Arabidopsis thaliana: one gene and its partner. The protein of the gene in region 1 interacts with the protein of each later gene in a biochemical or structural test. Each region holds a gene or a part of one and is shown on either strand. Other genes may lie near its edges. The genes, in order: ECT1 and CIPK1.

The links.
Region 2: the proteins of ECT1 (region 1) and CIPK1 form a complex in vitro, tested with the Arabidopsis thaliana proteins (one study listed by BioGRID).

What each region holds. Positions count from the first base shown.
Region 1 is NC_003074.8:1,019,366-1,024,632, forward strand, and holds ECT1 (evolutionarily conserved C-terminal region 1), read left to right. Parts: upstream 1-1,780; 5' UTR 1,781-2,136; coding exon 2,137-2,188; intron 2,189-2,545; coding exon 2,546-2,616; intron 2,617-2,787; coding exon 2,788-3,009; intron 3,010-3,157; coding exon 3,158-3,706; intron 3,707-3,790; coding exon 3,791-4,003; intron 4,004-4,124; coding exon 4,125-4,262; intron 4,263-4,360; coding exon 4,361-4,402; 3' UTR 4,403-4,650; downstream 4,651-5,267. Other genes in the region: AT3G03960 (TCP-1/cpn60 chaperonin family protein), read left to right, coding at 5,067-5,217. UniProt on the Arabidopsis thaliana protein: Specifically recognizes and binds N6-methyladenosine (m6A)-containing RNAs, and regulates mRNA stability. M6A is a modification present at internal sites of mRNAs and some non-coding RNAs and plays a role in mRNA stability and processing.
Region 2 is NC_003074.8:5,988,244-5,995,030, reverse strand, and holds CIPK1 (CBL-interacting protein kinase 1), read left to right. Parts: upstream 1-2,029; 5' UTR 2,030-2,403; coding exon 2,404-2,595; intron 2,596-2,691; coding exon 2,692-2,754; intron 2,755-2,952; exon of another isoform or gene 2,953-3,815; coding exon of another isoform or gene 3,816-3,830; coding exon 3,831-3,902; intron 3,903-4,005; coding exon 4,006-4,113; intron 4,114-4,189; coding exon 4,190-4,270; intron 4,271-4,369; coding exon 4,370-4,549; intron 4,550-4,631; coding exon 4,632-4,847; intron 4,848-4,938; coding exon 4,939-5,043; intron 5,044-5,133; coding exon 5,134-5,250; intron 5,251-5,341; coding exon 5,342-5,404; intron 5,405-5,496; coding exon 5,497-5,571; intron 5,572-5,659; coding exon 5,660-5,722; 3' UTR 5,723-6,107; downstream 6,108-6,787. Other genes in the region: AT3G17500 (F-box family protein), read right to left, coding at 6,533-6,729. UniProt on the Arabidopsis thaliana protein: CIPK serine-threonine protein kinases interact with CBL proteins. Binding of a CBL protein to the regulatory NAF domain of CIPK protein lead to the activation of the kinase in a calcium-dependent manner.

The DNA of each region.
Region 1 (5,267 bases):
CTAATTAATTTTTCTCTTTTTAAAAAAAATCATTTTTGCAACGTTAACTTTTTTTTGTTCTCTGTGCTCATCATCCCTAATCGCAGATGCTACTTATTGGCTATCGCTGTTCCGCTTTGGGTTCCTCGCGTGCCTTTTTTTTTGTACAGATATTTGTTCATAGAAATATTCTAAAATGTTATATGAAGAAAACTTAATTAAGAAAATGCTTTGTTATGTCATACGTGTAAGCACATTTATCACATAAATTTTCACTCGATTTGTTTTGAAACAATGAAAAAAAAGAAAGAGGAACTTGTTTCTTTTTGTTGACAACAAATCGTATGTCACAAAATCCATTAATTCATGGAGATCGGTGAAGCACATCGCGCTGTATGCATAATGGCTTTGTATATTTGTATTAGAAGTCAATGATTTGGAATTAATATGTCAAGTGATTATTAAAAAAAAAACGTAAGATTCAAGTACATTTCATATTGTTTGGCTATAAATTCTAGGCAATCAAATTATTTAAAACATGCTTAGAATAAATATATTTAACTCTAATATCAGTCGAGTGAGATGGCATAGAAAGACTTCAAAGTTATCATGTGTTTACTTAATATCTTATATATATTTCTTCTCTAGTGAGTGTTTTTAAAGTGGTTAAAAATCTGGTTGCAAAAATAAAATTGTTGCATCTAACACCAATTTAATGGTGCATATACTGTATGTGGAATTAAGTTGTTGGGAATGTTTTTGAGTTTTTTCCGGCCTTGAGGATGATGTTGTCCTTACCGCCTCATACAACTAATGAATGAGAGAACATGTGAGACAAAGGATAAACATATTGATCAGTTTTGTGCAACTCCATGTGATGTTTGCCAAAAATAATTTAATGCTATTTATATTTGAGAATCCATCACGAGCACAAGTTAAATAACTTTTGAAAAGCTATACATAGCAGAAACCAAACTCTAAAGATTTTGAGTTTATTTATATAAAAATTTAAAAAACGTTTTCCAATTCACCATAAATAATTTGAATTAATTATTATTTTAAACATGACTTGAATTTGTCTACTATTTTTGTTGTATGTGAGACCACAATACTAGTAACCCCACAAATCAACCTAAGATTTTATTTTTCTCATACACCTACTTATGTTAGAAAATCCACAGAAATTAAAATATATCACCAGTTCAAGGCCTACCTTTCTTTTTTTATAGAAGTTTAGGTAAGAAGCAAAATTATGGATCGATGCCTAACATAAGGTTCGTATCCCCTTGGAATCATCTTTGAAGCCATCTAAGACTCGTTTATGAAGCATCATCCCTTTTACATATGTGCAATGAAGGAATAATTTTAGATGCGATACCGATAGATATGGTGTGTTGATTAGCTTACGGAGTCTAATCACATACACACTCAATTTTTTGTCCTAGCCAAGAAAACCCATGTTTGCGACCGATCATTTTATATATAATTTTTGGCCTAAAATTTGTAAAAGTTTTCTTGAGTTGAATTCAAAATTAACGGATTTTCATATTTTAATGTTGTCAATATGAAAACCATATTTGTAAATTTCTCGCGAATGATTAGCAAAGTTTTAATATATCCCAACCACCACTCCTTTTGTATGTGTATGTTACAATTAACAAACATCACCATGGTTAGTACTTCCTAAACAAATGGAATTCATGATAATTTCTCTTAAGCAAAAGTCCTAAAAGTGTAGTTAAGCTTTACTGATTCGCTATATTGATTTTAAGTTAAGAAGAAAAAGAGGTCTCACTAATAAAAGCAATCAACGTCAAATTTTCAGAATCTTCTCGTGTGACGAAAAATCGTCATTAAGAAGAGGAGCCTTATCTTTTTGGGTTAAAGGAGCAAAAAAATCGAAATTTGTCGCTTAGAATTCCTCGTAAATTTGACCCATTTGGGGGCATTTCTGTTCTTTGTTAAAGATCACCGCCTTACGTTAAAGGGGAAGGAAGACGAAGAAAACAAAAAAGAACGGAACTTTCTAAAACCCCCCACACACCAAAAGCGCTCTCTCTCTCTGGGTTTTTCGAGGTTGCGTTTGCTTTCATCTGCCCAACCTTCTAGGGTTTTCCTTCTCTTAAAGCTTATCCCTTTTTTTTGCCTTCTCTCGATATGGCTGGAGCCGCTTCTTCTGATCGTCTCGTCACTAGCTTCCCTCTTCTGGGTACGTTGCTTTTAGCTCAAAGATTAAAACTTTTTTGGCATCGGAAGTTATCATTTTGTGCTCATCTTATAACTTGCGATTGATTTCTACCCTTGGGTTTAGGGTTTAGCGACTAGTGTTATCAGTATCTGTCGTAGGTTTTCTGTTTCTGATAGGATTGATTGGTGTCTAGAGTTCTCTACAAACCTCTTTATGGGATGCTAGATGAAATTTTGTGTTTTTCTGCAAGTTAGTGTTTTTTTATCTGCTTATGGGTTGAATTTCACCAGTAATTTGCCTTGTTTAGACTGTGCAATTGGAGTTTGAGGCTTTGTCATTTTAAAATATTAACTGGGCTCTTGTATATAATCGCTGCAGATACAGCAGATTTGTTTCAGGACTTGTCTTTAGGTTCAGATGCAAATGAAGTTCCTATGAACTTTACTAAGGTACTTAATTACTACTTCTTTTTGAAAATTTAAAGTTTTTGGAACTTAAATTGTGTTGTGTCGAAGGATCTTTAACTACAAACTGTTCTGTGGAGAGGTCTTGCTGCTCATTTAATGTGAATTTGATATACTGTGAGTTTTTTTTTTGTTAACTGACTGTTTTCTGAGAAGGGTTCTTTTCAGCATCCGTATGGTCATGCACCTTATGGTGCATCTTCTCATGGAAGTGAAAGAAGGCCAAACATGAATGCTGGCAATCTGCTAAATGGTGGAGACTCGATTGGTTCATACCCGTGGGGTTACATCCCAGCAAACTATCCTTCTGGTGGCTACCCTGATCCGAGGTTTGGTTATGACCGCAACAGCAATCACAGTTCCTTTTCACATCTCATGGTATGTTGGTTACTTCACATGACCTCTCTGCCTCTTTTCTGTCTTCATATAGTCAAGAGAATGTGTGTTTTGTTCTCTTCGTCATCTCTGCTGGGACTTGGGATTTTTTTTTTGTCTAATTACTGGCTACAACTGTTTTATTTAACAGAATCCACACAGCTCACAAGAAGTACCAAGTTTTGACCAATTGGGATATAATGATCATTTGTATTCCAACCATGGATTGTATGGACTTTACGGGAATGTAATTGACTCTGGTCATGCATATGGAACTTTTGGTTATGATTCCTGGAAACTTGGGCGAGGATGGTATCCCGTTGATGGTTATAGAAAGACCAGAAGCTTCAATCATGGGCGTGGTTACAGTGATGAGAAAGCAGATAGGCTTAATGAGCTATGTCGAGGACCAAGGAGTAGTGATTTCAAGAATCCACAAGTTCTTAACTCTTCAATGCTAGATGCAATGAAGCAAGACGTTTCAGCAGTAGATCTCCAGCGCTACAATGGGGAGAATTTCCCTGAATCATTTGTGAAAGCAAAATTCTTTGTGATCAAGTCATACAGCGAAGATGATGTTCATAACTGTATTAAGTATGGTGCATGGTCGAGCACACCAACTGGCAACAAGAAGTTGAATGCTGCATATTATGAAGCCAAAGAAAACTCCCAAGAATGCCCTGTGTATCTTCTGTTCTCGGTCAGTATGAGGTTACTTCACGTCTTGTGCAATATCCTTTCAGATTTACATTAAGTAACTCACTGTAATCGGTTTTATCTACAGGTGAATGCAAGTGGGCAATTTGTTGGTCTTGCGGAGATGGTAGGCCCTGTTGATTTCAACAAGACAATGGAGTATTGGCAGCAAGATAAATGGATTGGTTGTTTCCCTGTGAAGTGGCATATCATCAAAGACATACCAAACAGTCTCTTAAGACACATTACCCTGGCGAATAACGAGAACAAGCCTGTCACTAATAGCAGAGACACTCAAGAGGTCCGTTGAACTTCCCCTAAACCCTTTCTTGGACATGTTTGAAGCCTAATTGAATTCTAATAAATAATGATTATGGCTGTTAGTCAGGCTTTTAAACTGTACGGTGATGGTTTTGGTACAGGTGAATCTGGAGCATGGGACCAAGATCATAAAGATCTTCAAGGAGTATATGAGCAAGACATGTATACTTGATGATTACAAGTTCTATGAGACAAGGCAGAAGATCATCAGAGACAAGAAGATCAAGCAAAAGAAACAGGTACAATTCCTTAAACCCTGCTGCATCTAAAGCACATTAACCACCCCTCTTGATACAGTCTCTGGGATTGTTTCATTTTGATTGTTTTGTTATATTAGGCCCTTGATGGAGCTTCGGGGGAAACAATTAACTTGAGTTGAAAGATGGAATCAATGCAAGGAAAGAAGAAGATGACTTAATTAAAAGAACTTAGTTTTGAATTATGTTTTTTCTTCAGGGTTGGGATTTCTAAAAACCTAATACACATCTTTAATCTGTGTGTTTTCTCTGCTTATCTAAACAAAACTTACATTGTCTTTTGTTCCTCTTAAGGGGACGCACATCTGATAAAACAAAAACTCAGGCTTTCCTTCAAAGTTCATATCATGTTATTTTCAAGTTATTTCTCTTTTAGTCCCTAAACTTTCATATAATAAGACTCTCATCCGTAAATGTCAAAAATCTCACATTTTGGCCCACATCACCATAAAAGTTAAAACGACACCGTTTAGCACAAAAACCAGAAGGAATGGTGTTCTCTATTCGTCCCTAAACTTTCATATAATACAACTTTCACCCCTAAAGATTTAAGATCTCAATTTTTGGCCCCCATCCCCTTAAAATTTAAAACGACACCGTTGTGAACTCCCATTTTAAAACCTCGAAAGTTTTCTAGGGCAATCTCGGCCACTTTTACTCACAGAAAACCTTCTCTCTAAACTTCTTCGAAAATCTCACAGAGCTTCTTCTTCTTCGCTTTTAGGGTTTTTGCTCTATTGTTTCGAGTGACCCAACTTCGAAGCTTATAGATCGTTACCTTAGAAAATGGTGGGTATGTCGATGCAGCCATATGGTATTCAATCGATGCTTAAAGAAGGTTACAGGCATCTCTCTGGTCTCGACGAAGCCGTCATTAAGAACATTGAAGCTTGCAAGGAGCTCTCCACCATTACTCGCACCTCTCTCGGTCCCAATGGTTCGTAATGTTTCTCTGATTGGGATTTGATCTAATACTGAAATGATGAA
Region 2 (6,787 bases), 5.0 Mb from region 1:
TATTGGCTAGCTATGAGCATTAACATGAGTTTTGGCACGAAATTTGTTATGAAAAAACAAAACTTCTCCTTTTAAATACTTCATTAATTGTTTACCATTACCATTGTTGATTTGGTACATATGATTTCTCGTTCCATCTTGGGTTAATATCTCTTTAATTAATATGTTTTAGGGTTATTGGGCTCGTATATGTAGTGAGAGACTCTACATAGGAAGCTAGAGTTGTAACACGTAGAATCAAAGGCTAATATTAATGTTTCTTAATCAATGGTTAATATCTCTTTAGTTTAACATTAAAAGAGCACGAGCAAAAGAATATAACAAGAGAAAATTGTGGTATAAAATATTTGCTTGAGAAAGTTTATATAACCACGAACGAGTTACTCTTTTATTTATTTAAATTTATATATATAACACACCTAGTCATCTACACACAAAAGAGAGAGAGAGAGAGGTTCTGATAACATAGATCAATCAATATGTTACTCACTGCCGGCAGCAATACTATCACCGGCCATTTTGACACGTTTGAGAGACTCGAATAATTTTAATTATTGGTTTTTTCTCCTTTTCTATATAGTATCTATTCATTTCAGCCACATCATTTACTAACTACAAATTTTAATAAAAACCTTGGGAAAAAGATGTGTAGAGAAACATGTGACATATGACCTTTTCATTACCAAAAATATGTTGGGACGACTGACGAGAGCTAAGAACCACTACATTCTTCAATAATCTATGTATCCAATAAAAAGATATAATATGGAGTTTTCCAAATTCAAGAGATTAGCCTGGTGCCCAGGCCCTGGTTTATTGAAACTTTTGGATTCTCAAAAACAATTTATTTATTTTAATTAAATACACAAACCGCATAAGAAAAACAAATATAAATTGAATGGTTCCATGTGATTTAATTAATTGTGAGCCGACAAAGGACGAGACATGAAATATAGTATAAATTACCATAGTTTTTTTTAAAAAATATTAACTTTAAGTGTATCATTAACGATTGTGTTTCTAAACGCTTGCCTATATTGCGAATTAAAAATTTGTAAAAGTCTACAACTAATATTATTAGTCTACAAAGACAGAAACAATATAAAACTGAAAGCACCATGTTTATTTCCCCCCAAACCGAAAGCACTATCGTAAAAAAGTGTTTTAAATCTAATTATCAATTCATGCACGATATCGACGTATATAAATGGTTTATTACCAAATTATCTCTTAAACTGAAAATGCCACGACAATGAAGACCTACTGTCTATGAAACCAAGTCATAAGTTCAAAATTTCCATAGAAACGAATGGGTTATGAACGCGTTGTTTAATTTGTTGTAGTGTGTATATATAACTTGATCTTAAGTTTAGGTCTCTTTTGATCTCCTCTTTTATAACAAAGGTACAAAACTAAACTGTAACTTTAAGAAATCATAGTTGGACTTCAACTTTTAAGTAACTCCAACATGAAAACTTGGAAAGTATGTGATTCCTTGTGAACTTTTATGTGTATACAAGTTTGTTTCTACATTTAAGAACTAAAATCCGAAAGCCAAATCAAAACTGCTCCAGTAACAAGAACTATAAAACTGCAAGCACCAATCTTTTTGTAGCGTTTCTTTCTGACTTTAAACCAAAAGTTCTTATGAATATATTTTTTCATCTATTATTATTTAATTTCAACATAAAACTAATGCAACAAATGACGTGGGCCTATTGATGCATACAAGTACACACATAAAATACACACATATTCGCAATATACATCATATATAGAATTATTCTGATAAATCAATATACTCTTTGCGTATATTTTCCATATTTTGATTGTTGACAGAAATAAGATCCTTTTTAAATTTCTCCTTATAATGAACATAGACATAATTTCATTTGATAGGAGTTTTATTTGACCAATAATAATAAATCTCGATAAGTACCCTACTAAAAAAATCTTATTTCGATAATATCAAATCTTATATGGTTTGTTAGATTAATCTTTTTCTTTTGTGAAGATTAATATGTTTCTAGTTATCCAATAAAAATCTGGCTAACAAAAACCAAAAAAAAATAGTTAACGAGGAATATATATATAAAAAGAAGTGAATATAATAAGAAGAGAAGAGGAAACAAAGAGAAGTAGCGTCCTCTCTTCAATTTCAACCGGCACTTTCTTCTCTTCTTCTTCTTCTTCCCAATCTTCCTCGTCTCTTTACCTACACCTATATATATATATATATATATATCTCCTTCCCTCACACACATACCTGCACAGCTACAATAATCTACTTCCCCTCTTTCAATAACGGAATTAATAGTAATCTAATCGGAAGATTCAAGCGAGAAATCGATTTGGTTGTCTGTTAATTTGTTGGGAAATAAATTGAAATAGGAGATTGATTGGATGGTGAGAAGGCAAGAGGAGGAGAAGAAGGCGGAGAAGGGAATGCGTCTGGGGAAATACGAGCTAGGGAGGACGCTCGGCGAGGGTAATTTCGGTAAAGTTAAATTCGCTAAAGATACCGTCTCCGGTCATTCCTTCGCCGTTAAAATCATCGACAAGTCTCGTATCGCCGATCTCAACTTCTCCTTACAGGTTCCCATCTCTCTATCATCATTTCTAATTTTTTTCTTTTCTCTTCTTTTACTAAATTTGTAATTTGACAGATCCAATTCTTATGAATCTGTGCAGATAAAAAGAGAGATCCGGACTCTGAAAATGTTGAAACATCCCCACATTGTTAGATTACATGAGGTCCGTATCTTAAATTTTTGTGTATAATCATCTTTGGATTATCGAAATGATTCTGTGATTAGGAAGTAAAAAGGTTTATTGCTTAATTAGTATAACAATTTTTGATTATTCTTCTGTTTGCTTGTTTCTGTTTATTTAGTATATACCTGAGTATGACAGAAAGTGATCGAATTATTGCCTGCTTATGGATGGTTATTCAAATTTTGATTCGTCATTTTAGATTGTTAGATTAGGTTTAGTAAACTATTTTTAGTTAATTTCTTCATTGTTGTTTCTTTATCTATCAAAATGGAGCTGACGAGGATTAAAAACACCTCAAATCTTGGATAATTGTTGTTTGCTTTTTGGATCTTTTTTTTTACTGTTTAGGAATATTCTTACAAGTCATTTGGTTTCGTACCCAAACATGTTTCATTTAGCTTGTTTTTCACGTTGCCAATTAGCCGCATCATTTTACATAATTATTAAGTTAATTATTCCATTATTTGATATGGTGGCTTGGCCGGTAACACAAATCTGACCTGTTCAATTCAAAGGTGGGGTCCTAAAAAAAATTATCGTGAAAAATGCAGGATATGTCGCTTGATCATCATATAATTGCTTAATCTTAGTACCCTTTTAAGCTTTTTATCATGTGGACCCTCTTTGATCTTATGCTTAGTTTTACTTTTTATTTTATTTTATTCATATAGTATTATTTCAGATGATTATTGTATGGGTCATTGCTTGCTGTATCTTTGCGTTTTATTGTTGACTTCTAATTATTTCGATTGCTTCTTCCTCTTTGCCATTTAACACGAGATTAATCGTGACTTTTGGTTAAGCAACCATTGTGGATCTTCACTTATTTGATACACGTGGTCCACTTTTTAAGCTCGTGACTAACTTTGTCGTGTCTTGGACAACTAAGTGTTTTTTATGTAATCTGTGGATATGAATGCAATTCGAATTCTAAATGTTTCTTTTTCTTTCTTGTGACTAATCTTTTGGATTCTCAAACATGAAACATCTTACCTCAGAACTCACTGTTCCTTTACCTTGAAACTAATGGCCTCTTCCTTATGGTAATCATGCAGGTCTTGGCTAGCAAAACGAAAATTAATATGGTAATGGAACTTGTTACCGGAGGAGAATTGTTCGACAGAATTGTAAGACTCTTACTAGCCTCTATGCTCAAAGCAAAAAAGATTTTTTTTCTTTTTTTGACGAGTGTCATTTTTGCTAAACTCACACTTTGATGATAACTCTCAGGTTTCCAACGGAAAATTAACAGAAACTGATGGAAGAAAAATGTTTCAGCAGCTTATCGATGGAATCAGCTACTGTCATAGCAAAGGTGTTTTCCACAGGGATCTCAAGGTCTGTGATTCTCTCACTGTGTTTCAAACCATGGAAACCTTATGGAATAGTGTACTGATGTTTTTCTATATTGCAGCTAGAGAATGTTCTTCTTGATGCAAAGGGACATATAAAGATCACTGATTTTGGCCTCAGTGCTCTGCCTCAGCATTTTAGGGTACTTGAAAATATCATCTTAAAACCATAGCATATCACAGCAGAATTATAATTGTTGAATCCGTTCGAGTTACAACTAATTTTCTCTTTGGCATTTTAGGATGACGGATTGTTGCATACAACCTGTGGAAGTCCTAATTACGTTGCGCCTGAGGTTTTAGCTAACAGAGGCTACGATGGTGCAGCATCAGACATATGGTCCTGTGGTGTAATCTTGTATGTGATTCTAACCGGATGTCTTCCTTTCGACGACAGAAACCTTGCAGTTCTTTACCAGAAGGTAAACCTCATTTTTTCTTATATATATGCCAATTCAATACACATTTTGAAGAAATAAGCTTGATAATTGATTTGATTTCTAGATATGTAAAGGAGACCCACCAATACCAAGATGGTTATCCCCGGGTGCAAGAACCATGATTAAGAGAATGCTTGATCCAAATCCAGTCACGAGGATCACAGTTGTGGGTATTAAAGCCAGCGAGTGGTTCAAACTTGAGTACATTCCTTCAATTCCCGATGATGATGACGAAGAAGAAGTTGACACAGACGATGATGCTTTCTCAATCCAAGAACTCGTAAGAATCTGCCACCCTTACTCTCTATCGCAACTGCATTTGAGTCAAGTACAATGTCCTCATTTCTCTGTCTCTCTTTTGAATGGTCTAGGGATCAGAAGAAGGGAAGGGCAGTGATTCACCGACCATCATCAATGCGTTTCAGTTAATCGGAATGTCTTCCTTTCTTGACCTGTCCGGTTTCTTTGAACAAGAGGTAACTAATCTTCTAATACTCTGTTTCAAAGATCTGCTCTCTGCTTGAGCCAATGTATAATAAAAAGGAGTTATACTTTTACTTTCTCAGAATGTATCAGAGAGGAGAATAAGATTCACTTCAAATAGCTCAGCAAAAGATTTACTGGAGAAAATCGAAACAGCCGTTACAGAAATGGGATTCAGTGTACAAAAGAAACATGCCAAGGTGGGTCTTCACAACATGGTCTTCCTCTTCCTTAGCAACTTGGAATTTCAAATCTGTAGGTTTATAAACTTTAAACTGTATTTTGTTTCAGTTAAGAGTAAAACAAGAAGAAAGAAACCAGAAAGGTCAAGTTGGTTTATCAGTAACAGCTGAGGTATATTAACTATTACGTAAACATTATTTCACTGTTCAATAGACTATTTAGTGAGATTATTTGACTAATAGAAGAAATTCTTATGATATCAGGTTTTCGAGATAAAGCCGTCACTGAACGTGGTTGAGCTAAGAAAATCTTATGGCGATTCATGTTTATATAGACAGGTATGCCACTATTGTCATTTCTTAATTAGACTGAAGAAACACATATCAAAGATAAAAATGTTTATGTTTGATATTGGGGTTGGTGCAGTTGTACGAGAGACTATTAAAAGACGTGGGCACATCCTCGCCGGAGCAAGAGATAGTAACTTAGGTGTTGGTGTTTTCGGCTGAAGAGATATACATAGCTCTAATAATTTATCATATGGAACACACCATCCATGTTCATATAATTTATTATCTTAAGTATATATAAAAGGAGCTCGATTTATATGATTAGTGCAAATAGTAATTGCATTTAAGTATAAACCGTGGCGTAGATCTTTCCTCAAGAATTAGAGATTTTATTCACTACCTTTGTATTTGTTTTTATTATTATTTGGTGTGGCAAATCTGCCTACTAGCAAAAAAGATCCCATAAAAAATCTCTTCATTATTTTTGTAAATAATATACATGTGTTTAGTTTGTATCTGTACATCATTCAATTCCGCACCAACCGATCTACGTATATAAATTTTTAGTATTATGCTATGTTGCTTTCGTCTCATAAAATACTCTCAAGAGTCATGAGTCATGTGACCTATCAACATTTAGCGTCCTGGAATGTAACAATTGTAGTTTTAAAGTTAGTCAAATTCACAACTTGTTCTTGTTTTAGTTGGAACTTGAATGTAGTGCAAATAAGCCAGGAATCAAAATAATATATCTAGTCATAGATTAATCAAACGATTTTACTACAAAAACGCAAAAACGAATAAACAAAAAAAGGAGATTGAAGAAATTACGTCCTTACCTGTATCGACTAATACTGAACCAAACTTGGAACATAATTGAAAATAAAACGGCTCACATGAGTTCATAAAAGGAATGAACTTAGGCCATTCGCCAAAATGGATTTCTGTGTATTCACGGTCCTCCCCAACAATGTATACAAGGTTCTTGCTCGCAAGTCTGTTACTTGTCTCACAACCCACATAGCAAGGCCATTCCTTTCTCCTTGTCGATGAAGAAACTGTCATACGATAACATAGCACGACCACCAATGTCTACATCTACCGTAAAGAATTTGCTCCACTGCACTTCTTTAGTATCAATCTTATCAGTTATCCATACATCCACCTTTGATGCACGACAACGCTGAAGTACCAATGATAGTTGTTCTTATCTAACAACTGATAGAGCTGTAGTTTTATGATCAAGATTCTGAAAAGCCGGAAG